Pelodiscus sinensis: one gene and its partners. The main gene of each other region encodes a partner of the protein of the gene in region 3 in a complex. Links are inferred from orthologs where the notes say so. Each region holds a gene or a part of one and is shown on either strand. Other genes may lie near its edges.

The links.
Region 1: the proteins of TRMT112 (region 3) and METTL5 are in contact, whole or in part, in a crystal structure (PDB 6H2V), measured with the Homo sapiens proteins. The link is inferred for Pelodiscus sinensis from reciprocal best matches to the Homo sapiens genes TRMT112 and METTL5. Residues at the interface, in NP_001359000.1 of Homo sapiens: Met1, Lys2, Leu4, Thr5, Leu8, Leu9, Ser10, Ser11, His12, Phe21, Pro22, Leu23, Pro34, Val35, Asn38, Asn40, Phe41, Arg44, Met45, Lys48, Glu92, Arg111, Gly112, Ile113, Pro114, Asn115, Met116, Leu117; in NP_001280115.1 of Homo sapiens: Asn52, Lys53, Val54, Gly75, Leu76, Val78, Ile82, Leu87, Asn91, Thr100, Ile102, Asp103, Met104, Val105, Gln106, Cys107, Asp108, Asn114, Arg115, Met116, Ser119, Phe120, Asp121, Arg150.
Region 2: TRMT112 (region 3) and THUMPD3 share a complex: the UniProt entries of both Homo sapiens proteins name them as parts of the heterodimeric THUMPD3-TRM112 methyltransferase complex. The link is inferred for Pelodiscus sinensis from reciprocal best matches to the Homo sapiens genes TRMT112 and THUMPD3.
Region 4: TRMT112 (region 3) and THUMPD2 share a complex: the UniProt entries of both Homo sapiens proteins name them as parts of the heterodimeric THUMPD2-TRM112 methyltransferase complex. The link is inferred for Pelodiscus sinensis from reciprocal best matches to the Homo sapiens genes TRMT112 and THUMPD2.

Annotation. Positions count from the first base shown.
Region 1 is NC_134717.1:39,992,186-40,000,354, reverse strand, and holds the start of METTL5 (rRNA N(6)-adenosine-methyltransferase METTL5), read left to right. Parts: upstream 1-4,678; 5' UTR 4,679-4,801; intron 4,802-4,898; exon of another isoform or gene 4,899-4,918; intron 4,919-7,851; exon of another isoform or gene 7,852-7,997; intron 7,998-8,003; exon of another isoform or gene 8,004-8,169. Other genes in the region: E3 ubiquitin-protein ligase UBR3, read right to left, coding at 4,104-4,540. UniProt on the Homo sapiens protein: Catalytic subunit of a heterodimer with TRMT112, which specifically methylates the 6th position of adenine in position 1832 of 18S rRNA.
Region 2 is NC_134721.1:19,628,937-19,636,440, reverse strand, and holds the start of THUMPD3 (tRNA (guanine(6)-N(2))-methyltransferase THUMP3), read right to left. Parts: upstream 3,465-7,504; 5' UTR 3,316-3,464; exon of another isoform or gene 3,212-3,315; intron 2,801-3,211; 5' UTR 2,746-2,800; coding exon 2,488-2,745; intron 1-2,487. UniProt on the Homo sapiens protein: Catalytic subunit of the THUMPD3-TRM112 methyltransferase complex, that specifically mediates the S-adenosyl-L-methionine-dependent N(2)-methylation of guanosine nucleotide at position 6 (m2G6) in tRNAs.
Region 3 is NC_134721.1:33,162,953-33,169,731, reverse strand, and holds TRMT112 (multifunctional methyltransferase subunit TRM112-like protein), read right to left. Parts: upstream 2,584-6,779; 5' UTR 2,477-2,583; coding exon 2,396-2,476; intron 2,284-2,395; coding exon 2,182-2,283; intron 1,959-2,181; coding exon 1,866-1,958; intron 1,252-1,865; coding exon 1,150-1,251; 3' UTR 989-1,149; downstream 1-988. Other genes in the region: PRDX5 (peroxiredoxin-5, mitochondrial), read left to right, coding at 3,165-3,179, 4,892-5,026, 5,459-5,590, 6,431-6,469. UniProt on the Homo sapiens protein: Acts as an activator of both rRNA/tRNA and protein methyltransferases. Together with methyltransferase BUD23, methylates the N(7) position of a guanine in 18S rRNA.
Region 4 is NW_027465841.1:139,105-147,620, forward strand, and holds the start of THUMPD2 (U6 snRNA (guanine-N(2))-methyltransferase THUMPD2), read right to left. Parts: upstream 3,273-8,516; 5' UTR 3,233-3,272; coding exon 3,116-3,232; intron 1-3,115. UniProt on the Homo sapiens protein: Catalytic subunit of the THUMPD2-TRM112 methyltransferase complex, that specifically mediates the S-adenosyl-L-methionine-dependent N(2)-methylation of guanosine nucleotides, most probably at position 72 (m2G72), in the U6snRNA of the major spliceosome.

The DNA of each region.
Region 1 (8,169 bases), on a different chromosome or scaffold from region 3:
TTCTGGCATTTGATTTAGCGGGTCTAGTTAAGATCTGCCAAATCAAATGCTAAGGGTGGCACCAGTACTTCTCACAGTCATGAGGAGAAAGGCAAGTCAATGGGAACGTTTGCTCCCATCAACTTCTCTCTGCGAAGACAGTGTCAAATTCGGCTTCAGGTAAGCCAACTCCAGCTACGTAGAGATAGTTGACTGCTTCAAGAAACCAGCTTGATCACAGACCTCATGGTTTTAATATTCTAATTAAGACCAAGGAAAGGAGAGAGAGAGAGAGAGAGAGCGCCCATCCAACTGAGGGGAACTGAAGAGGGAGAGTGGTTCAGAGAAAAAGGGAGAGGGGAAAAAGGTGGAAGTAAAGAAGACAGACTACAAGAGCAGCAAAAGAGAAAAGGTAACAAGAGAGACAGACAATAGTTAGTAAAGTTGTAGGTAACAGAGCAGGTGAATGGAAATTACTACTGGAAAAGAAAGAGTCAAGGAGACAACTTTAAAAAAAATAAACAAGCAGGATAAGAAAAAATCCTAAATAGGACTTCAGAAAAAAAGAATAGAATGAATTAGATTGACTTGTTTAACTAAAAAATAAAAAAGGTGTAAAAGGAAGAAAGGGAAACTGTACATGTTTCCTCACATTCCTGAGACAATGTGGGTGACGTAGTATTTTTTACTGGATCGACTTCTGTTGATGAATACGACACACTTTTGGGTTTATTCAGAGTTTTTCCTTTAGCTCTGGGAAAGGTATTCTGAATGCCACAGCTCAAACCCAAAGTGGAACAGATAGGGAGTTAATTTATGTTACAAGAGACCATTTGAGGTGAAGCAAGCAGTTTGCACCTATACAGTCATAGGACAAAGGGGAATTATAGATTGTTGTAATAAACCATAAATTCACTCTTTATTAAGTACATGATTTTTGGTGTCTAGCAGAGTTAAGAATTTGAGACCTAGTCTACACTACCTTGGGCCATCAATCTAAATTATGTAACTTCAGCTATGTGACATAGCTGAAGCTGAAACATTTAGCTTTACTTACTGTAGTGTCTTCACTGCAATAAGTTGATGGCAGACACTGAACAAAGAGCGTAGGCAAAGAAGTACTGGAGTCAACAGGAGAACACTCAACAGTCAATTTATCACATCAATACTAGATGTGATCAATTGATTCCTGCTGGATCGATAGCTGCCTGTTGATCCAGCAGATAGTGTAGACATGTCCTCAGTTTCCAGGCCCGTCTTCTAAAGGTATTGTGCAGGTTTCCATGTGAGGACATGAACTGTGAGGAAGTACATAAGAATGGCCATACTAGGTCAGACCAAAGGTCCATCCAGCTCAGTATCCTGTCTGCCGACAGTAGCCAATGCCAGGTGCCCCAGAGGGAGTGAACCGAACAGGTAATGATTAAGCGATCTCTCTCCTGCCATCAATCTCCACCCTCTGACAAACAGAAGTTACAGACACCATTCCTTACCCATGGCTAACTACCATTGATGGACTTAACCTCCATAAATTTATCTAGTTCTCTTCTAAAACCTGTTATAGTCCTAGCCTTCACAACCTCCTCAGGCAAGGAGTTCCACAGGCTGACTGAGCACTGCGTGAGGAAGAACTTCCTTTTATTTGTTTTAAACCTGCTTCCCATTAATTTCCTTTGGCAGCCCCTAGTTCTTACATTATGGGAACAAGTAAACTCTTCCTCATTCACTTTCTCCACACCACTCATGATTTTATATACCTCTATCATATCCCCCCTCAGTCTCCTCATTTCCAAGCTGAAAAGTCCTAGTCTCTTTAATCTTTCCTCATATGGGACCTGTTCCAAACCCCTAATCATTTTAGTTGTCTCTCTCTGAACCTTTTCTAATGGCAGTACATCTTTTTTGAGATGAGGAAACCACATCTGTGTGCAGTATTCAAGATGTGGGCGTACCATGGATTTATATAAGGGCAATAAGACATTCTCCATCTTATTCTCTATCACTTTTTTAATTATTCTCAACATCCTGTTTGCTTTTTTGACTGCCGCTGCACACTGCATGAATGTCTTCAGAGAATTATCCACAATGACTCCAAGATCTCTTTCCTGATTAGTTGTAGTTAAATTAACCCCATCATATTATATGTATAGTTGGGGTTATTTTTTCCAATGTGCATTACTTTACATTTATCCACATGTTATTTCATTTGCCATTTTGTTGCCCAGTCACTTACTTTTGTGAGAACTTTTTGAACTTCTTCACAGTCTGCTTTGGTCTTAACTATCTTGAGCAATATAGTATCGTCTGCAAACTTTGCCACCTCACTGTTTACCCCTTTCTCCAGATAATTTATTAAGAAGTTGAATAGGATTGGTCTTAGGACTAACTCTTGGGGAACTACTAGTTACTCCTCTCCATTCTGAAAATTTACCATTTATTCCTACCCTTTCTTTCTTGTCTTTTAACCAGTTCTCCATCCATTAAAGGATCTTCCCTCTTATCCCATGACAATTTAATTTACATAAGAGTCTTTGATGAGGGACCTTGTAAAAGGCTGTGGAACACGTTCACCCAAAAGGTGATACAGTGTTTTTGTTTTCTATCATTCTTCTGTGAGACTACAACATTCCTTACATTTCTGAAAATTATTGTGAAAATTTTGTGGAACAGGACTGGATAGCTTTTGATAACATTATCTAATATGTTCTACTAAGTATTTACTCTGAGTAACGTGGTTAAACAACTGGTGTTCATTTGGAAGTCAGCTAATACACATTCTATATTCAAGTAACCAAAGTAGTGTTATTGCTGTTTACTTTTAATTATGCTTTTCCCACTACCATCTTTTTCATCCCCTGAATGATCAAGACATATCTACAAATTAGCCATTGTGTAACTACTACTTGATTGCTCTCTTTCCTTGAAAAGGCATACCTTCTCCTTCTTACAATTACATATCAAGGCCTAGTCAACACTGTAACTGGAATAGCATTAATTAAAAGTATCTGCTCACTTTTCTTGTTCTGTGAATCACACAGCACCCATATAAGAGTAGTGACTCCCAGTTTTAAAAGTTATGAACAGCATTTAAAGTGAAAAGTAAGGTAACCTGATAAAAGCATATGTTAAAATGGCACTCTTAGCTAGGCCTGGCCAAAGAGTTTGTGCGGCCCAAAGTGGTATGTTGTGGGTGACTGCACCAAGCCAGAGCAACAAGTGAGCAGCCGGGCGCCGGGCAGTGCGGGCCCCAAGGCAACTGCCTTGCTTGCCTTGCCCTAAGGCAAGGCCTGCTCTTAGCTGATCTCTTGTGTATTTTATCAATATTTTGACTTCTTTTGTCTTGTTTGGTTCTGTTCAATGAACATAGCAAATATGGAGTTGAATGTAATTTCTTCTTATGCATTATCAACTTAGTAACTAATTTCTGTGTACAGTGCCAGTTACACCTGAGCAAGCCCAGAAAGCAATGGGTTTGTGCAACTGTCCCTGTACATTTATGCACTGGAGTTAAGAATTTAACCTGCAAAACCTATGCTGCTGGTGATGGAACAGGGCATGAGAAGAACCCAGCTTGACTAAGATCAATTCTGCAGGGCTGACAATGTTGTCTAAAAATGTACCTTTTTTACTTGTACACAGAACACATTTGACACTGAGTCACGGATACACAATAAGCATGAAACCCACAAAGCCATTTTTGTGGTTACTTTCTTAGCACTCCCTAACTCCCTGGACATGAGAAAGGATATGGGTTTACATGGGAAAACAAATGAATACATTCCGGCAGGTCTTCTGGCCTCGGCACCTGCACCTTGGTCACAGAGCCTATCACAAGTTAAGCCATGACATTTCTGCCTACGCCTTGTGTTTAAATATTAGCACCATTGCACCAGCCTAATCGCCTTCCTCCTCCAAAAAACAACTCTCCCCAGAGGTACCACCCCTTCCCTTAGGGGCCACCTAAGGACGCACCTGCAGTCCTAGGCCCACCCACTAGGGCAGCAACTGCAGGTGTCGGCCCTACGCCCGCAGCCACAGGCCCCAACGGCCCCGCTCCAACGCTCCTCACTCCCGGGCCCGTTCGCCCGCCCAGGCCCGGCCGCCCGTCACCCCCCGCCGCTCACCCGGCCTCCCGCATGACGTTGCCGTCGCCGCAGTCGCAGGCGCCCCCTGCCTGGCTCCGGAACATGTTGTAGTCGTGCCCGGCGTGCTCGCCCTGGTGGAAGCACTCGGCGCACAGGCTCATGCAGGGCGAGATGCCGCACGTCCGGCAGCGATAGGCCACGAAGTTGGCCGTCCACACCAGGCCGCAGAGCGTGGCCGGGTCGTAGGCCCGCACCGCCTGCACGAAGTCCTCCCAGGGCTCGCCACCCGACAGCAGCCAGCGGCACCACTCCAGCGCCTCGGCCGCCGCCTCCCCGCCGCCCGCGGCCAGCGCCCGCTCCAGCAGCGCCTGCAGCTCCGCCGCCGCCCCGCTCTCCCCGCCGCCGCCGCTCAGAGCCGCCTTCAGTCGCGCCGCCGTGGCCCGCTTCTCCCGGCCGCTCGCACTAGCCCCCGCCATGATGAGCGCTGAGGCTGGACGCAGGAGCCGCTACGGCTGCGCCGGGCTCCCGGCTCTGGGGCTCCTACCCCCCGCCCTCTCTCCACTCCTAGCGGCGCCTCTCTCGCGATAGTCTGGGAGCCGGCACCGTGCCCGTCGCAAGCCGCCCGCTGCCCCCGCCCCGTGTCTGCCTCCGCCTGACATTGTCCCTCCGCTTCCTCCCAGGCCCTGCTCTTAGCCCGCCGGCCGCCTCTCACGCGCCCTGCGCTGGGCACGGCCTAGGTAGGTCGCCACACAAGGAGGTAACTTCCCAGCAACTTTAAAGAGAGGGGCATTGTTGTGTCTTGTAGCCCGGCCTCGTACTTGACGTGGTACTTACAGCGCCTCTCATCTGAGACTCTTGCAGCCCTCGCTACAAAAGAAAGTGAGCCGTGTGAGACAGGTGCTTAAACGGCAGAAGCTTGCTTAGGGAGGTGGCTTGTGCAGGTTTCACTCGAAACGTTTAAGAGAAAATGGATACAAGTTTTGACCTTTTAAAAGCTAAATGATATAATATTAGCTTTTATCTGTGATCCTCGCCCGTCCAAATTTAAATATAGACAGGTCACTTGCAAAAGTTGTATCAATTGCATTGTGCCATTGTATTCTTAGAGAAATAAAATATTTCTAGAAAGATTATAACCTATACTAATAAAATAAATATTTTTAATCTTCAAGTAAAAACCTTCTGCTTAGATTAGGGATATCAATGTGTAGTGAACCACATGATTAACCAATAAGTGTATCAAAGGCAGCAATGGGAGGGTGCAGGTAGTTGTTGGTGTGGCTCTGCAATTTAAAAGGCAGTAGGAGCCAGGCAGTCTACCCCCAGCTCCTACTACCTTTTAAATTGAAGAGCTGTAGTGGGGTTTGGTCCTGGTGTGAGCCAGGACTGAGTGGGGCTGCCTTCCACTATGGAGTAGTCAATAATTCTGTTGACTATTCAATTACTAAAATAACCTAAATTTAACATCCCCAATAAAGGAATAGAGTTGCTATTAAGTAAATGAAACCACAAATCAAATTTGAGCTGCTATAAGACCTAGTCCTGTAATTTACAATACAGACTACTGCTGTATCCATGTGAAGTTCTGCACTGTAAACTGCAGGAACAGCACTTATACCCTAGTACCCTAATAAATTAATTAGTCTTTAAAGTGTCATGGGACTTTGTGTTGTTTTTTCTGAAATTGACCAATGCAGCTATCTGATACCGATTATTAGGGAACGTCCTCTGGATTATAGTATTTTTAAATTTACAACTGTTGGCTATTATAATGATAATTAGATTTACCACTGTCTCATGGCAAATTTAAAATAAAAAATCTGTTGCTTTAACAAAAATAAACCTATATTTTATTTGGCTTAACAAATAAAAAAGTGCATGCTCCCTCTGCTGGTTTTGCAACACCATTATTCCTACGGCTGTGCTTGTAGTGTTGTAGCTATGTTGGTCCCAAGATATTTAATATCGTGGGTGAAGTAATATGTTTTATTGGACGAACTTCTGCCAGTAAAAGGGACAAGCTTTCAAACTACACAGAGCTCTTCAGGTCTAGGAAAAGAACTGAGAGTTTTGCAGAGCTGAAAAAGAGATGTGAAAACATTACTTGTGTCTCACTTTCCTGCTGGCATACTCCATCAATAAAATAATTAATCTTGTATTTTGGTACATTAGGAACAAAAATCCAAAGAATAATGTGCAATCAGCATGATATATTTTCACTAGAATTCTAGGAATTGCAAATGAGTGTAAAAACACTTAAGCCCAATCTATTAAAAGATGACAATCTTTCCAGTAGACAGTGAAGCTGCCAGTGTTTTGGTCACTAAAATCTGGTGCTAAGCAACGACTATGATATGAAATAAAGAGATAGCTGCTAGAGAAATGGTGACCTGGGAGGAATTCAAAGCTACCTAATAGCTCCTGAATCACTGCATTGGAGAACTGAAACTTGAATTTTGTTGCAGACATTTATTTGTCAGTGAACTGTTAGAGAGCCCTGAACCTGCAAGTGTTTTGCAAAACATTTAACATATGCACTTTGTTGGAAAAATAATTAAAAAGATAGGATCTTCATGTATTTACTCCAACAAATATGCATTTGCAAAAATATGTACTCAGTTATAGATGCATGGGGTGTGTGTGTGTCCTTCACAAAGCCCAAGTTCAATTCATCAGAGAGGACAAACCAGCAAAAGAGGGGAGTATTTTTCTCAACTCTGCCAACCAAAAGGCTCATATGGTGATCTCTTCTGTTTCTTTCTGCTGTGTCTAGAACAGTGCTGGGCAACCTACAGGCTACATGCAGCCCAATGGGGGCTGCATCCCATACACCCCCTGTTTGAGCTCCTCCCCCTCGCACACTAGGGCACTAGAGCCCAGCTCTTCCTACTCCTTCTCCCTCCCTGAGCACTTTGAGAGTGCCATGAATCCATTAATTCACACTCCATCACTTCTCTCTCTCCCAGAGCTTGAATGCCCACAAATCAGCTGAGAGGCAGGGAGGGTGGGGGGGATGGAGTGCAAATCAAAAGTTCTGGGAGGGAGAGAAGTAGGAAGTGTGGGGTTCTGGTGTCCCAGTGTGTGAGAGGCATGTGGGAGAAGAAAGCAGAAAGGGAGGTTGCCACAGGTGGAAGTGCAGTGGTCTGTGGTCTGCAGGTTATCCACCATTGGCGATCATGCGGCCCACTGAGACAAAAGAGGGCCACTCACGCGATCCACTCACTAGTCTTTGTGGCCCATCACTGGTCTAGAAGGAGCAAAGCAGGGAAGACAAGATGGATGAGGTGGTAACTTTTATTGGGCCAATTTGCATTGGTGAGAGAGACAAGTGTTGCTACTTAAACAAAACTCTTCTTCAGGTCTGAGAAAAGTACTGAAGCCTGCCAGCTAAATACACATAGGACAGCATGGTTAGGATGGTTTCTTAAACCAAATGGCAGGGTGAGCCGTCAGGGAGTTATTAAGGTTATGTGAGGATCATGAGGTGTCAGCCTCTCCCCCACCCCAAGCTTTGCTTCGACTCCTGTATTTATAATATTGTTAAATATTAAAAAGTGTTTTTAATTTTCATAGTCACAGGTTTGCTATGTGCAAAGAGAAAAGTTTGAGAACCACTGGTTTAGCATAAGTATTTTCTGCATATATAAAGGGGTGATTCAAGGGCTCTAAAGCTTTGTCTCTCAGCCAGCAGAAATTGGGCCAATAACAGGTATTACCTTACCAACCTTGTCTACTACTAACCTGAGACGCAGACGAGATTACAACCGCCTGCATAGCGCAAAGAGGGAAAGGAAAGGTGCCTAGGGGCAGGGTACAACGCTGCTAATAGCTGCTTGGGACTAAATAGGAACTGCCAGTGCTGGTCTCAGTTTCATATGTGCATAGGGGACAAGTTAAACTGCTGCACCGTGTGGCGAGAGGCCGTGCAATGAGGTAGGTGCTTGGGATGGCGGGGTCTGCAGGATGGGCACGGCAGTTTCCGAGCGAGCGCTCCTCCGGCGGGCGGGGAATGCGCCTTGTGCCCGGCGCAGGAGGCATCCCCAGGAGCGCCCTGCGCCGCAAGCGTTGAAGCGAAGGAAACCAGCAGCACGACTCTCAGCATCAC
Region 2 (7,504 bases), about 14 Mb from region 3:
TGTGGGTGTACCATGGTTTTATATAGAGGCAATAAGATATTTTCTGTCTTATTCTCCATCCCTTTTTTAATGACTCCTAACATTATTTGCTTTTTTCACTGCTGCTGCACACTGAGTGGATGTTTTCAAAGAACTATCCACAATGACTCCAAGATCTTTCTCTTAAGTAGTTGTAGCCAAATTAGCCCCCCTCATATTGTATGTATAGTTGGGATTATTTTTTCCCATTACTTTACATTTATTAACATTACATTTCATTTGCCATTTTGTTGCCCAATCACTTAGTTTGGTGAGATCTTTTTGAAGCTCTTCACAGTCTATTTTAGTCTTACCTATCTTGAGCAGTTTGGTATCATCTGCAAATTTTGCCACCTCACTGTTTACCCCTTTCCCTAGATCATTTATAAATAAGCTGAATAGGATTGCTCCCAGGACAGACCCTTGAGGGACCCCACTAGTTACCTCTTTCCACCCTGAAAACTTACCATTTATTCCTACTCTTTGTTTCCTGTCTTTTAACCAGTTATCAATCCACAAATGGACCTTCACTCTTATCCCATGACAACTTACTTTACTTAAGAGCCTTTGGTGAGGGACCTCGTCAAAGGCTTTCTGGAAATCTAAGTATACTATAGCCACTGGATCCCCCTTGTCCACGTTTGCTGACCCCCTCAGAGAACTCTAGCAGATTAGTAAGGCATGATTTCCCTTCACAGAAACCATGATGACTTTCCCCCAACAAATTATATTCATCCATGTGTCTGACAATTGTATTCTTTGCTATAGTTTCAACTAATTTGCCCGGTACTGACGTTAGACTTACTAGTCGGTAATTGCCAGGATCACCTTTAGAGCCCGTTTTAAATATTGGTGTCACGTTAGCTATCTTCCTTTCATTAGGTATGAAACCAGATTTAAAAGATAGGTTACAAACCACAGTTAATAGTTCTGCAATTTCCCATTTGAGTTCTTTCAGAATTCTTGGGTGAATGCCATCTGGTCTCGGTAACTTGTTACTGTTAAGTTTATCAATTTGTTCCAAAACCTCCTCTAATGTCACAGATTGAAGTGTCAAGTCCTCAGATTTTCACCTACAAAGGACGGGTCAGGTTTGGGAATCTCCCTAACATCCTCAGCCATGAAGACCGAAGCAAAGAATTCATTTAGTTTCTCTTCAATTACTTTATTGTCTTTGAGTTCTCCTTTAGCATCTTGATCATCCAAGGGCCCCACTGGTTGTTTAGCTGGCTTCCTACTTCTTATGTACTTAAAAACATTTTACTATTATTTTTTGAGTTTTTGGCTAGCTGTTCTTCAGACTTCTTTTTGGCTTTTCTTATTATATTTTTACACTTAATTTGACAAAGTTTATGGTCCTTTTTATTTTCCTCACAAGGATTTGACTTCCACTGTTTAAAAGATATATTTGTATCTGTCTCTGCTTCTTTTACCTTGTTATTAAGCCACGGTGGCACTTATTTGGTTCTCTTACTGTGTTTTTTAATTTTGGGTATACATTTAAGTTGGGCGTCTTTTATGGTGTCTTTGAAAAGTTTGCATGCAGCTTGTGGAGATTTTACTTTTGTCACTCTACCTTTCTGTTTACCTAACTTCCTCATTTTTGTGTAGTTCCCCTTTCTGAAATTAAATGCCATAATGTTGAGCTGCTGAGGTTTTTTTCCTACCACAGGGATGTTGCATCCCATCCTGAGATGACGTGTACCCAGTCAATATGGGGATAGTTGAAATCCCCCACTATTATTGAGTTTTTAAATTTGATAGCCTCTCTAATCTCCCTCAGCATTTCATAGTCACTATCACTGTCCTGAAAAAGTGGTCGATAATCCTTACTGCTATATTCTTACTATTGGAGCATGGAATTACTATCCATAGAGATTCTATGGAACATTTTTGGTCCAGAGAGATAGAGGAGGCACTTACAAATTACTACTAGAATATTTTGTATATAGTAGAGTATTATGTAAGTTTGTTTGTGTGTATACATATATAGGTAGATTTTAATACTAGAATATATTGTTTATAAGAGACTGGAATATAATTATTTTTATTTGTAAAAATTATTTCTATGTTTAGTCACAATGGTGAAAAGAAAGAATAGGGTTTCTATGACTTTTTTAAAATGATAGTTCAAGATGTATAAATTCCAGTTTAACAGCAGTCATAGTCAAATACAGATGGGGCTGCATTTCAGCTGTTAGTTAAATATTTGCAGAATATACAATTAGTGAAATCTTTCAACATATAAAAAGCATTATTTATCATTAATTTAAGATGATGATAACATTAGAAATGAACCCAATGTTTAGCATTCATAATATTCAATTCATATACAGAAAATCACTAACTGATCATTTAAATTTGTACATCAAAGGGAGAAAACAAGGCCCAGGACAAATAGGGGGAAAAAAAGGAATACCAATAAATTCCTAACCTAGATAAGTTACCCAAGGAACAAAATATGCAAACCTGTGAAAGTTTCTCTACTGAAATTTCAAAATAGATTTTTCCTCGGTCCTTGCTTATTCTGGACTGTGATCCTAATTTCTCTTTCACTTCATCTGCTGCTGTGAACTCAAAACCAGTTGGTACAGTAGCTCCAATAGTGACCACGGTCTCTTTCAGGCTTGAATGGAGATCACTGTCTGTGTTTTCAGTTAAAGGTTTATGTGTATCATCGAGGTGCACGTCTGCTAAGGTGTCAGAAGCCTCTTCAATATCTGACATTTTGACAGCACTTCAGACCCCAGCGCGACTATTATATACAGTGGCAGTAGCACTCCTGCAAAGACAAAAACGGTCTAAGCATGGCACGTACGAGCCAACCCTTCAGTGCGTCTCCTCTGAGCGAGGAGGGACGGAATAAGCATCAGTCTGGATTAAACAAGGAGTTTGAGCCTGGCCTAAGCGAAGGTCTTCCCCTACCCATGGCCAGCGCTCGCTGAGGCAGCTGGGGGAGAGGGCGGGAGGGGGAAGGGTCTCCCCGCCACCGTGCCCCCGCTCCACCGGGCTACGTGGGGAGCGAGCGGCTCGCGCCTCCTCCGTTCCGCGCGCGGCCTGGCGGGTGGCCCCTGGGGATAAGCTCGCGAGGCGGCTCCTCGCGAAGACTTCACCTCCGAGACTAGGGCGGACGCGATTCACCGAGGCCCCCCCGCTGCTGCCCGCTGGTGGCTTCCCCACCCGGGCTCCTTACGTTCCCTGCGGCCGCTCACCCCCCCAACCCGCTCCTCGGGGCGCAGCGTTCTCGGGCTGTCCCAATGCTGGGGGGAGCAGGGACAAAGACCGTCTGTTAGTTACCGGCGGCAACGGCCAAGAACGCACAGCGCGTGAGGGGCGCCGGCAACGCTACTTCCGGTCCGTGGAGGTCAATCGCTACCAAGCACTTCCGGGGCTGTCCCTCCTTCCGGCGTGCGACCGGGGGGGGGGGGGTCGCTTCCCCCTCCGAGATCCGGGCCGGGCCCCGCCCAGTGCCAGGGCGTGCGGCTTCCTCGCGTTGCTGGGTTACGTTGAGGCCGTGCCTAGAAAGCTGGTCCGGTTGGTGCGTCTTGCAGACAGGCTCTATCTTGCCGCCTCGTCTGCCCCGTGCACTGGGCGTAGCTACAGCTACACTGCACCCGCCGCTGGGCCGCGACTCACATTTGACTGAAGCCCCTGATTGCATCCAGGGATGTGGAAAGTTAACGGGTGAGCGTCACCCGGTTCACGGCTGGGGGCTGGAGCAGCTCCTCGCCTGCCGGCCGCTCCAGCCCGGCCAGAGTCGCTCCTGTCCACAGAGGGCGTGGGAGCACAAGCTGCAGGCTGGGACTGTAGATAGTTTCTATCTTTTCAAATATATTGATTTCAGTTACAATACAGAACACCCCGTGTACAGTTCTCACTTTACACTTATTTTTATTACAAATATTTGCACTATAAAAAACAAAAAAGTATTTTTCAGTTCATCTAATAAGTTTTATACAGGCAGTCCCCGGGTTATGTACAAGATAGGGACTGTAGGTTTGTTCTTAAGTTGAATCTGTATGTAAGTTGGAACTGGCATCCAGATTCAGCTGCTGCTGAAACTGACCAGCGGCTGACTACAGGAAGCCCGAGGCAGAGTTGCTCTGCCCCAGGCTTCCTGGAATCAGCCACTGATCAGTTTCAACAGCAGCTGAATACTGCCTGTAGGCGGGTATTGTAGTTTCAAGAATGCTTGGTGAAGATCCTGTAGGTGTTTGTCTCTCTCTGAAGGGTTGGAGCAAATGCAGTTGTACCTTAGTGCTTGGCTGTAGACAATGGATCGAGTGGTGTGTCCAGGATGGAAGCTGGAGGCATGAAGGTAGGCATAGCAGTCAGTAGGTTTTTGGTATAGGGTGGTGTTTATGTGACCATCACTTATTTGCACTGCAGTGTCCAGGAAGTGGATCTCTTGTGTAGACTGGTCCAGGCTGAGGTTGATAGTGGGGTGGAAATTGTTGAAATCATGGTGGAATTCTTCCAGAGCCTCCTTCCCATGGGTCCGGATGATGAAGATGTCATCAATGTAGCATAAGTAGAGAAGGGGCGCTAGTGGACAAGAGCTGAGGAAGCATTGTTCCAGGTCAGCCATAAAAATGTTGGCATATTGTGGGGCCATGCGGGTGCCCATAGCGGTGCCACTGGTTTGGAGGTATATATTGTCACCAAATCTGAAATAGTTCTATGTGAGGATAAAGTCACAGAGCTCAGCCACCCATTGTGCTGTGGCATCATCAGGGATACTGTTCTTGACAACTTGTATTCCATCTATGTGTGGGATGTTGGTGTAGAGAGCCTCTACATCCATGGTGGCTAGGTTGGTGTTTTCTGGAAGATCACCAATGCCTTGTAGTTTTCTCGGGAAATCAGTGGTGTCTCAGCTATCTAGCTGGGAGTGCTTGTGGCATAGGGTCTGAGTAGAGAGTCCACATATCTTAATTTTCTCGTCATCTCTACTGCATATTTGCCTTTAAGAATAGAGCATAGCTAGTTCACTGTTAACATGCAGAGCCCAGTTTCACCCTTGTGGGTCTTTGGCAAGTGTACAAGAACCTAACCAATTCATTTCCATTCTCTGAAAAGAGGAAGACACTCTCTAGGGTGACTAGAACAGAACTGTAGCATAATCTGAATAAAGACTATAGCTAGCTAGAGAGAATACTGACTAATTTAATTAAATGTGTTACATGGGGTTTTCATGCAAGAAAAATCCAGGGAAGATTCAAAAAGACAAACTGCAAAGCTACACTGTCCATTTGACTTAGTGGGGTCTGTGAAATATTAACGCACTTAAATTATCCTGGAGGTTTGGCAAGAAGAAGGAACTTCTTGCAATTGAAGTTTTTGATTGCATTTGGTATCTTCGTCAATCAAAATGGAATAAACTCAATCACTTCATTCGTTCTCTTATTTTCATACAATTTCATGGAACTGGACTATAAGAAATCAAACAGCAGACCAAACCAGTGGCCCATCCACTCCAAATGCTTCAGAGGACAGAGCAAGACACCTCACAGTGGACAATTATGGAATAACCTGGCCATTGAAAAAGTTTCGTCCTAATCACCATCCCTCAGTGACTGGTTTATGCCCTAAAGCAGTGGTTCCCAACCTTTTTTATACCATGGACTGGCAAACCCATTCACAAACTTTTGGCAGACCGGTAACAGTTTATTTGAATATTTGCATATTCATTATATGTGGTGGGCCACTGCCACAGCTGAAGACAGCTGTTCACGGTGGCTCTAGAAGCCAGTGCTGGGGTACGCCCTGGCTCCAGAGCCCCCCAGTGCCAGTCCTAATCCCTAGAATCCCCCACCCCTTCACTACCCTCTAGCACCAGCCACTGACCTCAGAATCCCCTGCACCCAACCCCTTCAGTGCCAGCCTCCCACCCTCAGAGTCCCCCAGTACCAGCCCCCCATCCCAAATGCCTCAGTGCCAGCCCTGCCCCTTAGAGCTTCCCACCACCTGACCCTGCCCCAGTGCCAGTCTCCTGTTTCCAAAGCCCCCTGTACCCAACATCCCAGAGCCCCCCTGGGCCAGCCCCCAGTTCCCAATATTAGCCCTAACCCAAGCCCACTAGTGTCAGCCCTACCCTGCAGCCCCCCACTACTAGCTCCACTCCAGAGCCCCTGAGTGTCAGCTCCCCATCTCTTAGGTTACGTCTACACTGTGGGTATTTTGCAAAAGAGGTGCTAATGGGTGCTAATTTGCATATATCATGCTCTCATTTGCATCGCTTTCAATCCTTTTTGCGGAAGCAGTTTTTACAATAAAAAGCCTTGTGTAGACAGGGCCATTTGTCAGAAAAAAACCCTTTTGTGCAAGAGCCTGTAAACCTCATTTTTTGAGGAATAAGGGATCTTACGCAAAAGGGTTTTTTTCCGCCAAATGGCCCCAGATGATGAAAATGACTCAGATGATGACAATGAGCATGCATCAGTCCACATTGCTTTGGATTGTTACCAAGCAGCAGTGGTCCCCAACGTGGTGCCCGCCGGGGCATTTATGTGCGCCCGTCAAACGATCTGGGCCAGCCCTGCCCCGCTCCGGGTGCACAGCGCATGCGCGGTACCAGCCTCGGGCATGTGGCGCATGGGTGGCCCCTGCCCCAGGCACGCAGCACATGCGTGGTGCCAGCCCCGGGCGCCCGGCAGCCCCAAAAGGTTGGAGACCACTGTCAAGCAGAAACCATCATCAGCACAGATGCATGTCCTCTGGAATGGTGGCTGAAGCACGAAGGGGCATATGAATCTTCAGTGCATCTGACACATAAGTATCTTGCAATACCAGCTACAGCAGTGCTACATGGATGCCTTTTCTCATTTTCAGATAAACTTAAAAAACAACAAATAGCCTGGTAGCACTTTAAAGACTAACAAAACATGTAAATGGCATCATGATATTTCGTGGGCACAGCCCACTTCATCAGATGACTGGAGTGTTGGATGTCCAGAACCAAAAGATGACATTGAACTGGGCAGCTTTATCTCCTGCAAATTGTAACCAGACTTGTTTGTCTGAGTGATTGGCTGAACAAGAAGTAGTACTGAGTGGACTCTAAAGATTTATATTGTTTTATTATTGAATGCAGATTTTTTTGTACATAATTCTATATTTGTAAGGTAAGATTTCATGATAAAGAAATTGCACTACAGGCAGTCCCCAGGTTACGCGGATCCGACTTATGTCGGATCTGTACTTACGAACGGGGCTTTTCTCGCCCCGGAGGACGCGGGCGGCGGGACCGCCCAGACGTGCCGCAGTCCCGCCGCCCGTGTCCTCTGGGGCGAGAAAAGCTGCTCCGCGGCTTTGCTCTGCGTCTCCCTGGTCTGCTGGGGGCTCTGCCCCCAGGAGACCAGGGAGACGCAGAGCAAAGCCGCGGAGGACCCAGGCGGAGGACCTAGTTTCATGAGGCATACCTGCGCAGTCAACAAAGGCTTCCTTGTCGACCGTGGCGTGTCCAGACTGCCCCGATCTGCCGACA
Region 3 (6,779 bases):
GATAACTTAACAGCAGGATCTGGGAACCCCAGTGAGTGCTAGTCTCCCCCCACACCCAAAATGGTTGAGAATCTGACAGGAGTGGGGATCTGACATGGGGAGCCCCTGATGTAGTTGGGCCCGGGCCGGGGGTGGTGACTAAGACAGAGAAGGCTTTGGAATTTGGAGAGGGGAAAAACAGCACTGTGATTGGGCAGCTGTACAGATAGGAAGAGGGGTTGCAAAGGCTTGGCCATATTGAGGGGGTCCCTAGGGAAGGAAACAGAGGCCAGTATCCCCTCCATCCCCCCTCAAGTTTCCTCTTGACCCTCTGCTGCCCATAGCAATAAGCCCCCCCTTTCCCTTGGGATGGGGTGAAGATGCTGAGAAACATGTACATAGCAATATATCAAACTGTATATTTGTTGCAGGATAATACGTGACCCCTTCATCTCTGCTCCCCTCTGGGGGTGTATCCTCAGTCTCCCCATTTCTATAACAAGTGGGGTGACATGGAGGGCGTTTGTATTAAATTATGTATGTGTATATATTATAAATACCTCTATTTTGTGTATAGGTGCTATACACACACATACATAGAGCTATATTCCAGAGCCAGAATAAACCATGGAGATATCAGTCTGTGTCCAGTCTTCCTTCCTAGCAGTTAAGAAGGAGCAGGATCTTTGTCTTGTTCTGTGTTTGTGCAGCACCTAGCCCACTAGAGGCCTTGCTCTTGACTGGGTATCTGAGCAGTGCCCACTCCACTGGGGGATCTGTTTCAGGTCTAGGACTCCTAGGTACCACTGCAAACCAAATAACTATCCAAGAGGAACAGAGAGTTCGGTGCAAGGTGTGGGGTAGGTCAATGCTCGGACAGACCCAGGACTAAGCATGGAGATGGTACTAGAACAGAAAGTCGCCAGCACAACAGTGGGTGGGAGGAAGCCCAGGGCTGGGATAGCTGAGAGCTGCAGGTTAGGACTGAGCGACACAGCAGGGGAGGAGGGACAATTAATAGATGATATGCCCTAGGCCAGGCTCCACCTCATAGTTTTATTTATACACAAACCAAACAAGCAAAGACTGTCTTCTACATCATACAGGACTCTCCCTCCCACCTCAGGGAGCTCCCCTACCCCATCTTTCCGTCTTGGACACCCAGGCCCTTCACGTCTCCTCCTCACTTAGCAGCATGTTGGGGATGCCCTTGGTGATGGGGAACTCCCGGCCAGAATCAGGGCACTTCAGTACACCTTCCATCACCTCCACCTGTGTGTGAGGAATAATCACGGGTCAGCTACAGTGGACAGCCTGTGCCCTGGCTCTACCCAATCCAGACCTGAAATGCTGTAAGGGAGAGCTGGAACTTCCCCAGAACACCAGTTTTCCCCTCTCAAATGTTTGAGATTAGAGGTGTTTTGCTGAAGTCACAACTCCCTAACCACCTCATGATTCTTAGCAGTTGGGGAGGGGGCAGGATGCTCTGCAAAAGCCAAAGGATCATATAATCCAAGTGCTAGAGTGTCTGCTGAACTGCCAGAACCCATGAGAGTGGATTTCAACACACAGCTAGAGCAGTGGGAGAATGCGCTGCACTATCAACATACTCTCACTGTGAGTGGGTCCCCTGGGCTTACATTTAGAACAAGAGCAACAACTGAAAGAGGTCCCCCACGCTGGAGGATTCCAGGGAGCCCTAGTGTCTCTATGGGTGGATAACTCCCCGGTGTCTCAGCCAGACCAGGAAAGGATCTGTGTTTGTATCATAGGCCCCTGTCATACAACCTTAGCCAGGGTTTTTGTGGTGCCTGGGAGCCAGGGCCCTGCACCACACAGGATGCTGGTGGGGGGTTGTGGACAAGGATTGTGGAGAAGAATCTCACCTCCAGCAGCACATGATGCACCTTCTTCAGGAAGTCTTCATTGTTCTCATACTCAGGAGGCAGCTGGGGAGGCAGGTCTGACAGGTGGCCCAGCTGTAGGAGGAGGAAGATCCATGTCACAGTGCTGCACCAGAAGAGAGGGTTTGCTCTTATCGACTCAGATGCTTCCCAAAACCACTTCTCTCCAATCCCCCCAAAGGCTGCAGTGCAGATCCATGCTGCCTATCTGCCATGATAGCGCCCAGAGTGAGCTCCTCCCCCTGCCAAGCTCCTCCCACCCATGCCCTGAACGGGCTAGCCCCTCCCCCGTACTCACGCTCTCAGCAGCCTCCACCAGGGCCCCCCACTCCACCTTGGGGATCATCCGTGCCACGAACTCCTGGTTGAAGTCCACGTTACTCACTTTCACCTCGGTGGCCTGCGGGGAGCGGAAGAGCCAATGAGGCGCAGCCGGGGCCCCATCAGGCCTATGGGGGGAGGAAATCAGCCCAGGCAGACGTGGGCCCCTGGTTGCTGGAGGATCCTGTTACCTGGATACGGAGGGGGAAGCCGCCCCCGGGCCGCACGCCCCGCACATGCGAGGTCAGCATGTTGTGCGTCAGCAGCTTCATCCTCGCGCCGCTCCCGCGCAGGGCGCCGCTCGCGTACTCACGTGGGAAGCCAAAACTTGGCTACTTCCGGTTCAATTCGCACCCCCCCCCCGCACAAACGCTGCTTCCGACTGGAATGTCCCTTACTCAAAAGGATCCGGCGGCTGGAAGGGAAACACGGGGCCCGAGCTGAGGGTTCCGGAGAGATGCGGAGATAGAGCGCCACCCCGAGGGATCCCGGCTACTCCACTGGGCCTCTCGTCCCAAAGGGGAAGAGAGAAGAATTGGACTGGAAACAAAGGGATTGATGTATGCAAATAATATTCAAATTACATGCAGTTTTGATTTAAGTATATGCACAAGATAGAAGAAAAGCAGCCATGAATCACAAAGCTTGTGTTAATTGTATGCAAATTAATGCCGCGCTACCAATCAAAATCAATCTGTGTAAAAAACACTGTACAAACTTGTCATGCAAATGAGCCACCTATGATATGCAAATGTTATGCAAACACAGACTTGTGGGTTGCGGCGCATGGGCATTCCATTCCACCCTGAAGGTGGCAGCCCCCCCCGGCCGTTTCCTTGGCAACTGTCATTCAGGCGGTCTCCATGGTGACTGTGTTGAGGGGTGTGGCGGGGGCTGCTGCAGGCTGGGCCCCCGGCGCCGAGCCCAGAGGATCCGGAGCTGCCGAGCCCAGCGGCTGTCATGGCGCCCGTCAAGGTGAGAGCGGGCGGGGCGGTGAGAGGGGCCACCGGGCCCTCAACCCTCCAACCTGCCCCGCCCCTGTCTGGGCTCCCCTTAAATCAGCCGCCGGCCGGGGCCCCCGCCAGAGAACCGGGGCCCCGAGCGGAGCCACCCCTCCCGAATCAGGGCTCCCCCTCGCCAGCCTGGCCTCGGGATCCTTAGAACCTGTGTCCGTGCCCCCAGGGCTCTTGCCTAACAAGGGGGCCCCGAGCGCCCCACACCCTCCAGATCTAGGGGGCAGGGAGAAGTTGGGAGTAGAAAGGACTGGTGGGGGGTGAATGAAAGGCAGGATGGAGAAGGGGAAAATGGGGGAGGGGTTAGGCTGCAGAGAAGGGGAGCTCGGTTATGGGGTGAAATGGGAGGCAGGAGTGGGGGGAGCTTGGGGTCGGAGCAGGCCCATATGCAGGAATTTCTGTGGGTGTGGGTGCCTTTTTGTAAATGTGCACCACAAAGGTGTGAATGCATCCCCCATGGCTCCCCCAAGTAAGTGGGAAATCAGCCCCAGCCTTCCCCTGGCTGGCTGGAGCATGCTCACTTGGGGGGTGCTTTTGCACCATTCGCACAAACCTCCCCGCCTCTCTACCTCCTCCCCCCACCCTCATACATGCCTGCAGAGGGAGCTGGATTGTGCAAGAGGGAAAACAGGGTAGAGGCTGGGGGAAGGGTAGGTGTGAGCTGAAGATGGTGGGTTGATTGTAAGGGATAGTGGGGGACGTGGAGGTTGGTTGGGATTGTGGGGGGATGATGAGCAGGCTGAGGTGGGAGGGTTATTGGATGTGAAAGGGAATAGGGCTGTTTAAAAACAGTTAATTAAGCAACTGTAACCACTGAAAATTCTCAGCTGGCTCCAGGCTCGCACCAGCTCCGCCTACAGCCCTTCTGCCGGAGGGGCAGCAGCAGCCAGCTCCTTGGGAGCCAGTGTGTGGCTCTCAGCCTTGCTCCCAGGCAGCTCATTGCTGCCCTGTGCTGCAGGCTCTTGATATAGAGCCCACAGCATGGGGGGGCAGCTGGCTCCCTGGGAGCAGGGCTGGGAGCTTGTGTGTAACTGTTGATGGTAACTAATAAGCCCAGACTTATCACGTAACTGTTCAAACAGTTATACTATTACATCTCTAAAGGGAAGTACACATGGCAATCCAGAAGGTTTTGGGTGGGTATGAGGGACAGGGAACTGGGGGAGGTGTCTAACTTATGAGCTTGAGTAATCTGTTTGGAAACTCCAAGGCAGAGGTGCTGAGTCACTGAGTCTCTACCCTGCTCCCTGCCCTGGATTGTTGTGACAGCACCCTTGCACATAGACACAACTGAGGGGTGCACATGGGGCTCTCCCTATGCCAAGGGGAAGCTCATCATAGGCTTTGTGCTTCTGCTGGAGGGGTGTCTTTCCAGGCCTGGGGGGCAGCTTCTGAGACAGGAAGCTGGCTGGATGGGAAGGGAGACCCCACCCCCCCTTGGTCCTCAGCTGCATAGGGTCCACATCTGCATCTGTTCTAGTCATGCCCTGTTGGTGCTGGGACAGAGGTGGGAGGGTTATAGCTGGGGCTAGAGGAACAGGCTCCTAGTTGGAATTCCTGAGTGTGGGTAGCTCCTACCCCCTGCACTGGAGTGGGAAGATGTTTGCCCTGAGTGGTGGGGTGGAAGGAGACATGGCAAGGCTTCCCCCAGCTCTCATCCTCTGTGTCCTCCAGGTTGGAGACAAGTTGCCCAGTGTGGAGGTGTACGAGGGAGACCCTGATACCAAAGTGGATGTGGCAGCACTTTTCAAGGGCAAGAAGGGGATTCTCTTTGGGGTGCCTGGTGCCTTCACCCCTGGCTGCTCCAAGGTGAGGTTTGGAGACCCCCCGCAGTTCCCTGTCTCCCCCCCCCCCACTACCTTACCCATTTTAGAATACACACCGACTCTAGAGCACCCCCACTCACCCTTTGTAATCCCTATCCTAGACTCCGCTCCCTGCTCCCTAAAAGCCCCCATCCCAAGGTGCCTTCAAGCACTCCTCAGAGTATCCCCATTCCCATCCAGTTCCTCAGAACTCATCCACCAGAGCACCCCTCCTCCCAAGCCCATCCCTGGAGTGAAGGGATTCACAGGATGCGCTGAGAAAGGGACACATATATGAGCTCAGTATATCCTGTCCAGCACCCTCCCTGGGTGCTGAGGGACATGCTGGGTGAAGGAGGTTCCTTGGGCTGATGTCTAATGCTCCCCCCACTCTGCTCTCATGCTGGGAAACTAATGCTCTTCTTGCTCTCCTCAGACCCACCTGCCAGGCTATGTGGAGCAGGCCGGAGCACTAAAGGCCAAGGGCATGGACTTGATTGCCTGCCTGGCTGTGAATGATGTCTTTGTCATGAGTGAGTGGGGCAAGGCCCACGGGGCTCAGGGCAAGGTGAGAAGTGGGGGCAAGGCCCACAAGGCTCAGGGCAAGGTGGGAGGGAGAAATGGGGACAAGGCCCAGGGGGCTCAGGGCAAGTTGTGTGTGTGTCGGGGGGGCAAGGGGGGGAGGGGAGAAGTAAGGGCAAGGCCCATGAGGCTCAGGGCAAGTGAAAGGTAAAGCGGGAGCAAGGCCCACAAGGCTCAGAGAAAGGTGGGGCATGGGGGCAAGGCCCTGAGGGCTCAGGCCAAGGTGGGAGGGGTAAATGGGGACAAGGCCCATGGAGCTCAGGGCAAGGGCAGGGGCAGGAGGGATGGGGACAAGGCCCATGGGCCCAAGGCAAGGGAAATGAAGGGGGGCAAGGCAGGAGTGAGTGTGGAAGTTGAGCTATGGCACCCAGGATGAGAGGGCCGCAATGCCAAAGCCTGGAGGAGCGGAGGGCTGGTGAGGACACCAGCCAAAGGGAATGTGCAGTGTACCAGGGCCATAGCAAGGGGAGCGAGGTTGGTGGGACTAGGGGTTCCTGGGCAGGGGGAGTGAGCAGGGGTCAAGGCCCAGAGCAGTGTCTTTATAGGGGGTGTATGGTGTTGAGTCTCAAGGGGCAGAGGAGGAGTCTCTTCTCCCTCATCCAGATGTTACCTAACCCCAAGGCTGCATGAGCCCTACCCCACCCCTGGGTGACTCATCCAGGCTACCAGGAGCACTTCCCTTCCTGGCAGGAGTTGTTGGTTGTGCAAGGGCCTGTAGATTGTGTAATTCCAGGATTGGGTGTAGCACTTGACACTCCTAGCCCTTGCCCCTGCCTCACAGCCACCTCCCCATTGGCTCCCTAAACCTTTCTCCCTTCCCCCCCAGGTGCGGATGCTTGCTGACCCCACAGGAGCCTTTGGAAAGGTAACATCCTCCCAATCCATGCCTCCATGTGCCAGCTGGTGGCATCATTCTTCAGGATTAGTTCCCATTTCCTCCCCCTCCCTCCCCTCATCTGTATGCCTCTCTCTGACCCTTTTCCCCCCTAACCAGCACCACAGCCCAGATTCAGGCTAATTCTCTTTCCCACACCACCATTTGCCTGTCCTGTCTTGACCTCTGCTCCTCCCCTTGTCCTCAGATCCAGCCCCTGCTCCAAGTGGGGGGTGTTCCTGCTCTGGGACTGTGGGGAAAGGGACTATGGAACCCCATCCTTCATTAGAGGCCTCCGGGG
Region 4 (8,516 bases), on a different chromosome or scaffold from region 3:
CCCCCTCCAACAGCTCTGGGTCCCTGCAGAGCCCCCCCACTTCCATAGCCCCCCTGCTCCCCGACCAACCCCAGCCCCCCCCCCAACAGCCCTGGGTCCCTGCAGAGCCCCCCCACTTCCATAGCCCCCCTGCTCCCCGACCAACCCCAGCCCCCCCCAACAGCCCTGGGTCCCTGCAGAGCCCCCCCACTTCCATAGCCCCCTGCTCCCCGACCAACCCCGGCCCCCCCTCCAACAGCTCTGGGTCCCTGCAGAGCCCCCCCACTTCCATAGCCCCCTGCTCCCCGACCAACCCCAGCCCCCCCCCCCCAACAGCCCTGGGTCCCTGCAGAGCCCCCCCACTTCCATAGCCCCCCTGCTCCCCCGACCAACCCCAGCCCCGCCCCCCAACAGCCCTGGGTCCCTGCAGAGCCCCCCACTTCCATAGCCCCCCTGCTCCCCGACCAACCCCAGCCCCCCCCCAACAGCCCTGGGTCCCTGCAGAGCCCCCCCACTTCCATAGCCCCCTGCTCCCCGACCAACCCCGGCCCCGCCTCCAACAGCCCTGGGTCCCTGCAGAGCCCCCCCACTTCCATAGCCCCCTGCTCCCCGACCAACCCCAGCCCCCCCCCCCAACAGCCCTGGGTCCCTGCAGAGCCCCCCCACTTCCATAGCCCCCCTGCTCCCCGACCAACCCCAGCCCCCCCCAACAGCCCTGGGTCCCTGCAGAGCCCCCCCACTTCCATAGCCCCCCTGCTCCCCGACCAACCCCAGCCCCCCCCCCAACAGCTCTGGGTCCCTGCAGAGCCCCCCCACTTCCATAGCCCCCCTGCTCCCCGACCAACCCCGGCCCCCCCCAACAGCCCTGGGTCCCTGCAGAGCCCCCCCACTTCCATAGCCCCCTGCTCCCCGACCAACCCCGGCCCCCCCCAACAGCTCTGGGTCCCTGCAGAGCCCCCTCACTTCCATAGCCCCCTGCTCCCCGACTAACCCCGGCCCCCCCCAACAGCTCTGGGTCCCTGCAGAGCCCCCCCACTTCCATAATAGCCCCCCTGCTCCCCGACCAACCCCAGCCCCCCCCAACAGCCCTGGGTCCCTGCAGAGCCCCCCCACTTCCATAGCCCCCTGCTCCCCGACCAACCCCAGCCCCCCCCAACAGCCCTGGGTCCCTGCAGAGCCCCCCCACTTCCATAGCCCCCCGCTCCCCGACCAACCCCAGCCCCCCCCCCAACAGCCCTGGGTCCCTGCAGAGCCCCCCCACTTCCATAGCCCCCCTGCTCCCCGACCAACCCCGGCCCCCCCTCCAACAGCTCTGGGTCCCTGCAGAGCCCCCCCACTTCCATAGCCCCCCTGCTCCCCGACCAACCCCAGCCCCCCCCCCCCAACAGCCCTGGGTCCCTGCAGAGCCCCCCCACTTCCATAGCCCCCCTGCTCCCCGACCAACCCCAGCCCCCCCCAACAGCCCTGGGTCCCTGCAGAGCCCCCCCACTTCCATAGCCCCCTGCTCCCCGACCAACCCCGGCCCCCCCCCCAACAGCCCTGGGTCCCTGCAGAGCCCCCCCACTTCCATAGCCCCCTGCTCCCCGACCAACCCCAGCCCCCCCCCCCAACAGCCCTGGGTCCCTGCAGAGCCCCCCCACTTCCATAGCCCCCCTGCTCCCCGACCAACCCCAGCCCCCCCCCCCAACAGCCCTGGGTCCCTGCAGAGCCCCCCCACTTCCATAGCCCCCCTGCTCCCCGACCAACCCCGCCCCCCCCAACAGCCCTGGGTCCCTGCAGAGCCCCCCCACTTCCATAGCCCCCTGCTCCCCGACCAACCCCAGCGCTCCCCAACAGCTCTGGGTCCCTGCACAGCCCCCCACTTCCATAGCCCCCCTGCTCCCCGACCAACCCCGGCCCCCCCCAACAGCTCTGGGTCCCTGCAGAGCCCCCCCACTTCCATAGCCCCCCTGCTCCCCGACCAACCCCGGCCCCCCCCAACAGCTCTGGGTCCCTGCAGAGCCCCCCCACTTCCATAGCCCCCTGCTCCCCGACCAACCCCGGCCCCCCCCAACAGCCCTGGGTCCCTGCAGAGCCCCCCCACTTCCATAGCCCCCCTGCTCCCCGACCAACCCCGGCCCCCCCCCAACAGCTCTGGGTCCCTGCAGAGCCCCCCCACTTCCATAGCCCCCCTGCTCCCCGACCAACCCCAGCCCCCCCCCAACAGCCCTGGGTCCCTGCAGAGCCCCCCCACTTCCATAGCCCCCCTGCTCCCCGACCAACCCCAGCCCCCCCCCAACAGCCCTGGGTCCCTGCAGAGCCCCCCCACTTCCATAGCCCCCTGCTCCCCGACCAACCCCAGCCCCCCCCAACAGCTCTGGGTCCCTGCAGAGCCCCCCCACTTCCATAGCCCCCTGCTCCCGACTAACCCCGGCCCCCCCCAACAGCTCTGGGTCCCTGCAGAGCCCCCCCACTTCCATAGCCCCCTGCCTCCCCGACCAACCCCAGCCCAACAACCGCCCTGGGTCCCTGCAGAGCCCCCCCACTTTCCATAGCCCCCCTGCTCCCCGACCAACCCCGGCCCCCCCCAACAGCTCTGGGTCCCTGCAGAGCCCCCCCACTTCCATAGCCCCCCTGCTCCCCGACCAACCCAGCCCCCCCCAACAGCCCTGGGTCCCTGCAGAGCCCCCCCACTTCCATAGCCCCCCTGCTCCCCGACCAACCCCAGCCCCCCCCCAACAGCCCTGGGTCCCTGCAGAGCCCCCCCACTTCCATAGCCCCCTGCTCCCCGACCAACCCCAGCCCCCCCCAACAGCTCTGGGTCCCTGCAGAGCCCCCCACTTCCATAGCCCCCCTGCTCCCCGACTAACCCCGGCCCCCCCCCAACAGCCCTGGGTCCCTGCAGAGCCCCCCCACTTCCATAGCCCCCCTGCTCCCCGACCAACCCCGGCCCCCCCCAACAGCTCTGGGTCCCTGCAGAGCCCCCCCACTTCCATAGCCCCCTGCTCCCCGACCAACCCCAGCCCCCCCCCAACAGCCTGGGTCCCTGCAGAGCCCCCCCCACTTCCATAGCCCCCTGCTCCCCGACCAACCCCGGCCCCCCCCCCAACAGCCCTGGGTCCCTGCAGAGCCCCCCCCGCGCGGGCGAGCCCCTCACCTCCGTGGCCCCCAGGCGGGCCCGCACCTCGCGCAGCAGGAAGGGCTCCAGGCCGCGGCCGGCGGTGCAGAAATAGCGGAGCCCGGCCCGGCCCGGCGCCTCCGATCCGCCCGCCATCGCGTGCCGCCCGCCAGGCCCCGCCCCCTCAGCTTCCCGCCCCCGGCCCCGCTCACTACTGACCGCCCCGGCCCGCCCCCTCAGCCTCCCGCCCCCGCTCCGCCCCCGGCCCCGCCCACTACTGACCGCCCCCGGCTCCGTCCCCTCAGCCTCCCGCCCCCGGCCCCGCCCACTACTGACCGCCCCCCGGCCCCGGCCCCGCTTCCGTGTGAGCGACGCGGGCGGCGGCAGGTCCCCGGCAGACAGATCGGATTTCCGGTCTCTTCCTACAGCCGAGAACGTACCGTCCAGTGCGCCCTGAATACCGGCCCCCAGCCCCCCCCCCGCGTCTGGGGAGTCTGCCCCCAGCCCCCCCCCCGCGTCTGGGGAGTCTGCCCCCAGCGCCCCCCCCTGCGCCCCCCCGCGTCTGGGGAGTCTGCCCCCAGCCCCCCTCGGCCTCCAGCCCCCCCCCGCACCCACCCGCGTCTGGGGAGTCTGCCCCCAGCCCCCCTCTGCGTCTGGGGAGTCTGCCCCCAGCCCCCCTCGGCCTCCAGCCCCCCCCCCGCACCCACCCGCGTCTGGGGAGTCTGCCCCCAGCCCCCCTCTGTGTCTGGGGAGTCTGCCCCCAGCCCCCCTCTGCGTCTGGGGAGTCTGCCCCCAGCCCACCACCGGCCTCCAGCCCCCCTCCGCGTCTGGGGAGTCTGCCCCCAGCCCACCACCGGCCTCCAGCCCCCCTCCGCGTCTGGGGAGTCTGCCCCCAGCCCACCACCGGCCTCCAGCCCCCCTCTGCGTCTGGGGAGTCTGCCCCCAGCGCCCCCCCGCGCCTGGGGAGTCTGCCCCCAGCCCCCCCCCCCGCGTCTGGGGAGTCTGCCCCCAGCCGCCCCCAGCCCCCCCCCGCGTCTGGGGAGTCTGCCCCCAGCCCCCCCCCTGCGCCCCCCCGCGTCTGGGGAGTCTGCCCCCAGCCCACCACCGGCCTCCAGCCCCCCCCCGCACCCACCCGCGTCTGGGGTGTCTGCCCCCAGCCCCCCTCTGTGTCTGGGGAGTCTGCCCCCAGCCCACCACCGGCCTCCAGCCCCCCTCTGCGTCTGGGGAGTCTGCCCCCAGCCCACCACCGGCCTCCAGCCCCCCCCCCCCGCGTCTGGGGAGTCTGCCCCCAGCCCCCCTCGGCCTCCAGCCCCCCCCCCGAGTCTGGGGAGTGTGCCTCTCTGTCTCTCCCTGCGTCTGGGGAGTCTGCCCCCAGCCCACCACCGGCCTCCAGCCCCCCTCTGCGTCTGGGGAGTCTGCCTCCCTGTCTCCCCCTGCTTCTGGGGAGTCTGCCCCCAGCCCCCCTCTGCGTCTGGGGAGTCTGCCCCCAGCCCCCCTCTGCGTCTGGGGAGTCTGCCCCCAGCCCACCACCGGCCTCCAGCCCCCCTCTGCGTCTGGGGAGTCTGCCCCCAGCCCACCACCGGCCTCCAGCCCCCCCCCCCCGCGTCTGGGGAGTCTGCCCCCAGCCCCCCTCGGCCTCCAGCCCCCCCCCCGAGTCTGGGGAGTGTGCCTCCCTGTCTCCCCCTGCGTCTGGGGAGTCTGCCCCCAGCCCACCACCGGCCTCCAGCCCCCCTCTGCGTCTGGGGAGTCTGCCTCCCTGTCTCCCCCTGCTTCTGGGGAGTCTGCCTCCCTGTCTCCCCCTGCTTCTGGGGAGTCTGCCTCCCTGTCTCCCCCTGCGTCTGGGGAGTCTGCCTCCCTGTCTCCCCCTGCGTCTGGGGAGTCTGCCCCCAGCCCACCACCGGCCTCCAGCCCCCCTCTGCGTCTGGGGAGTCCGCTCCCCGCCCCCCTCAGCCTCCAGCCCCCCCTGCGTCTGGAGAGTCTGCCCCCCGGCTCTCCCTGCATCTGGGGAGTCGGCCCCCAGCCCACCACCGGCCTCCAGTCCCCCTCTGCATCTGGGGAGTCTGCCCACGGAGCCGCCACCCCCCCCCCGGCCTCCAGACTCCTCTGTCAGGAGTCTGCCCACAGAGCCCCCTCCCGGCCTCCAGCCCCCTCTGTGTCAAGGGAGTCTGCCCACAGAGCTCCCTCCCGGCCTCCAGCCCCCTCTGTGTCAGGGGAGTCTGCCCACATAGCCCCCTCCCGGCCTCCAGCCCCCTCTGTGTCTGGGAGTCTGCCCACAGAGCCCCCACCCAGCCTCCAACTCTTCATCAAGCCCCTTGCAGAGCCACCACGGGTCAGAGGCTGCATCTGCCAAGGGACAGTGAGGGGTATAAAGCTCTAGTCAGACCCCAGTACAAACCCCAGCCTCTTTCATGCACATCTTCCTGTGGGATTTGTCTCCGGCCATTTCTTGTTCCTCTAGACTAGACATTTTAGCAAATTTCCAAATGCTTTGGCACTCAACACCATGACACAATCCTTTCTCCTCCACAGAGTGCTTTAATGCCCATTCTCATTTCTGCCAGGAGTGACACAGATGTTCCTTTCCCATTGGACGGATTGGGATGCTGAGGCAGAAAAACAAAAGCATCTCCTGTTTGTCACACACTGTTACATTATCTCATTGCACACAAGGAGAAGACACTGTGTTCGATAGACATCTATCAGGGATGGTGTAGACGGAGCTTGGTCCTGCCTTGAGGGCGGGGGGCTGGACTCGATGACCTCTCGAGGTCCCTTCCAGTTCTATGATTCTATGATTTAGTGGTACAAGTAGCTTTAGGGGTACTCCAGAGACGTCGGGGGGGGGGGAGAGGTAATTCAACGCAACTGAAATTTGGAGAAAACTGAACTTTTGTTAACAGTGCTTAATTATTTTTGTACTTTTTACATGCAAAAATTTCATTGTCCGCTCAGCTATGATTAAATTATTTAAACAAATGTGTTGCAATGGGGAAAAAAATGTGTGAAAAAAACCTGTAGGTACTGGGGGTACTTTTTTTTTTAAGAGGATACATATATTTTAAAAGGGGTACTTTATTAAAAAAAAAAAAAAAAAGGTTGAAAAACACTGGTCTAGTAGCCCCAGGAGAAAATTTAAACTAAGGTCCTGTGAACTAACACCGTATTTTCAGAAAGGACATGCTATATACCTGGAGTTGGCAAATGCCTGTTAAATTGGCTTCGTTAGCAACTGAATGGCTCTTTCTGCTAATAGCTCTGGCAGGCTTTTACACTCTTTAAGTTAACTAGATCCTCTCTAGAGGAAGCAGAGCCACGGAACAGGGATAGGAAAAGGACAGTGGGTGGACATTAAGACCCACAAATGTGTGCATTCCCCATGGTGCCCACATGGCTGATGGGAGATAAAGGCAGGGGAAATAAAACTTCACATGGTGTATAAGTTATGAGGAAAGGATCTGTACATCAGAGTTGAATTATCTAATTATTAAATTTTGCTTAAGAACTCACGATACATGCACTACACAATTGCTGACCCAGATTTTGGCGTGCATGTTCAACAGCACAGTTTAGATAGCAGTGAATGAGACTATGTTTACACTCACGGCTTCTTGTGCAAGAAAACATCCACACTGCCATGTGTAAGCTGTGCTTTTGTGCAAGAGCGCCCATGGCAGTGTGGATGCTCTCTTGCGCAAAAAAGCTCTGATGGCCATTTTAGCCATAGGGCTTTCTTGTGCAAGAAATCCCTGCCGAGTGTCCACACTGCTCTCTTACGCAGGAGCTCCTGCGCAAGAGGGCTTACACCTGTTAAAAAAGCATAGCTCTTATGCAAGAAGCCCTCTTATCACGCCGTACTGTAAATCTTCTTGTGCAAGAGAGGGTGGGCAGTGTGGACGCTCTGCGGGTTCTTGCGCAAGAATGGCTGTACTTGCACAAGAACCCGCCAGTGTAGACATAGCCAGTGCGTTTTATGCACACCCAGGGGAACATATGCAAAGTTAGTCATGGAAAGCAGATATGTCAATGAGTGGAGATTGTTTCTCAGCCCATTGGTATTTGGAGTAGGCAGAAAAATGCAGACTGTCAAGGAAGAATTTGGCCTTCTTCCCTGACAGTATTCCTCAGTTGTCCTGCGCATCCCTCTTGGCCCCACACTAACCGTACATTGCCTGTACTGGCTGATGGGAGATGGAGGCCTGGGAAAATACATTTCCCACAGGACGCTGGGGCCTGCAATAGCTTATGGGAGATTGAGGCAGGAGGAAATACATTTCCCATAGTGCCATGGGGCCTCAATAACTATACTGTAGGACCTCTACACTGGCATGATCTTGTGCAAAAACTCTTTAGCGCAAGACTTCTTGTGTTAAAGTAGTTGTGCAAGAGAGCATCTACACTGGCATGTGCTTTTGCACAAGAGCATTCATGCCAGTGTAGACACGCTCTTGCGCAAGAAAGCTCTGATGGCCATTTTAACCATAGGGCTTTCTAGCGCAAGAAATTCATGTTGCCTGTCTACACTGGCCTCTTGCGCAAGAACAATTGCGCAAAAGGGCTTATTCCTGACCAGGAGCATCATAGCTCTTGCGCCAAGCCCTGATTTCATACAGTAGAACATCAGTTTATTTGCACAAGAACACACGGCTAGTGTAGACAGGCAGCAAGAGCAGCCACTTTGGCACAAGATCACGCCAGTGTAGAGACAGCCTAGATGGGAGGCCAGGGAAACATTTCCCATAAGGCACTGCTGTGACATCACCTCTGTGCAACAAAGGCCAAACAGGTCCTCCCTTTTCCCCTTCTCAGGGTATGCAGCTGGGGGCCCAAGACAGTGGAGGACTGTGAGATGAGAGGTTAGGGGATCCGGGGGAGCAATATGTAGAGCCCTGTGTGGATATAAAATTGTTATCCACATCCGCAAGCGATCTGCAGATGCCCCCCAGATATAAAGCGGGTATCTACACATTTGCAGGATTCTAGGTCTGCCTCCATAGCAAGAAAAACAAGCCATGCAAATCCACACCCACAGCTGAGAATTTGCAGAGCTCTAGGGATATGATTTTCCAGCTGCTTTGTCCCTTCCCCCCTTGTGGACCCTGAGCCGTAAACCCACCGTTTTGGGACCTATTCAGCCAAATCCTACGGGTACAAGCTGGGCTCCCCCAGACAAAGAAGCAGTAGGTCAAACTGTTACTGGAGCATCTGCTCCCAGGGGATGGAATTGGTTCTTTCCAAGCTGTTGACTGTGGCCAGACCATAAGAGCGGACATACGGGGTCCGACCAAACGTCCATCTAGCCCAGTAGCCTGTCTGCTGACAGTAGCAGCACCAGGTGCCCCAGAAGGGGTGGACCAAAGATAATGATCAAGGGATTTGTCTCGTGCCATCCATCTCCAGCCTCTGACAAACAGAGGCCAGGGACACCATTTCTGTCCTCTAG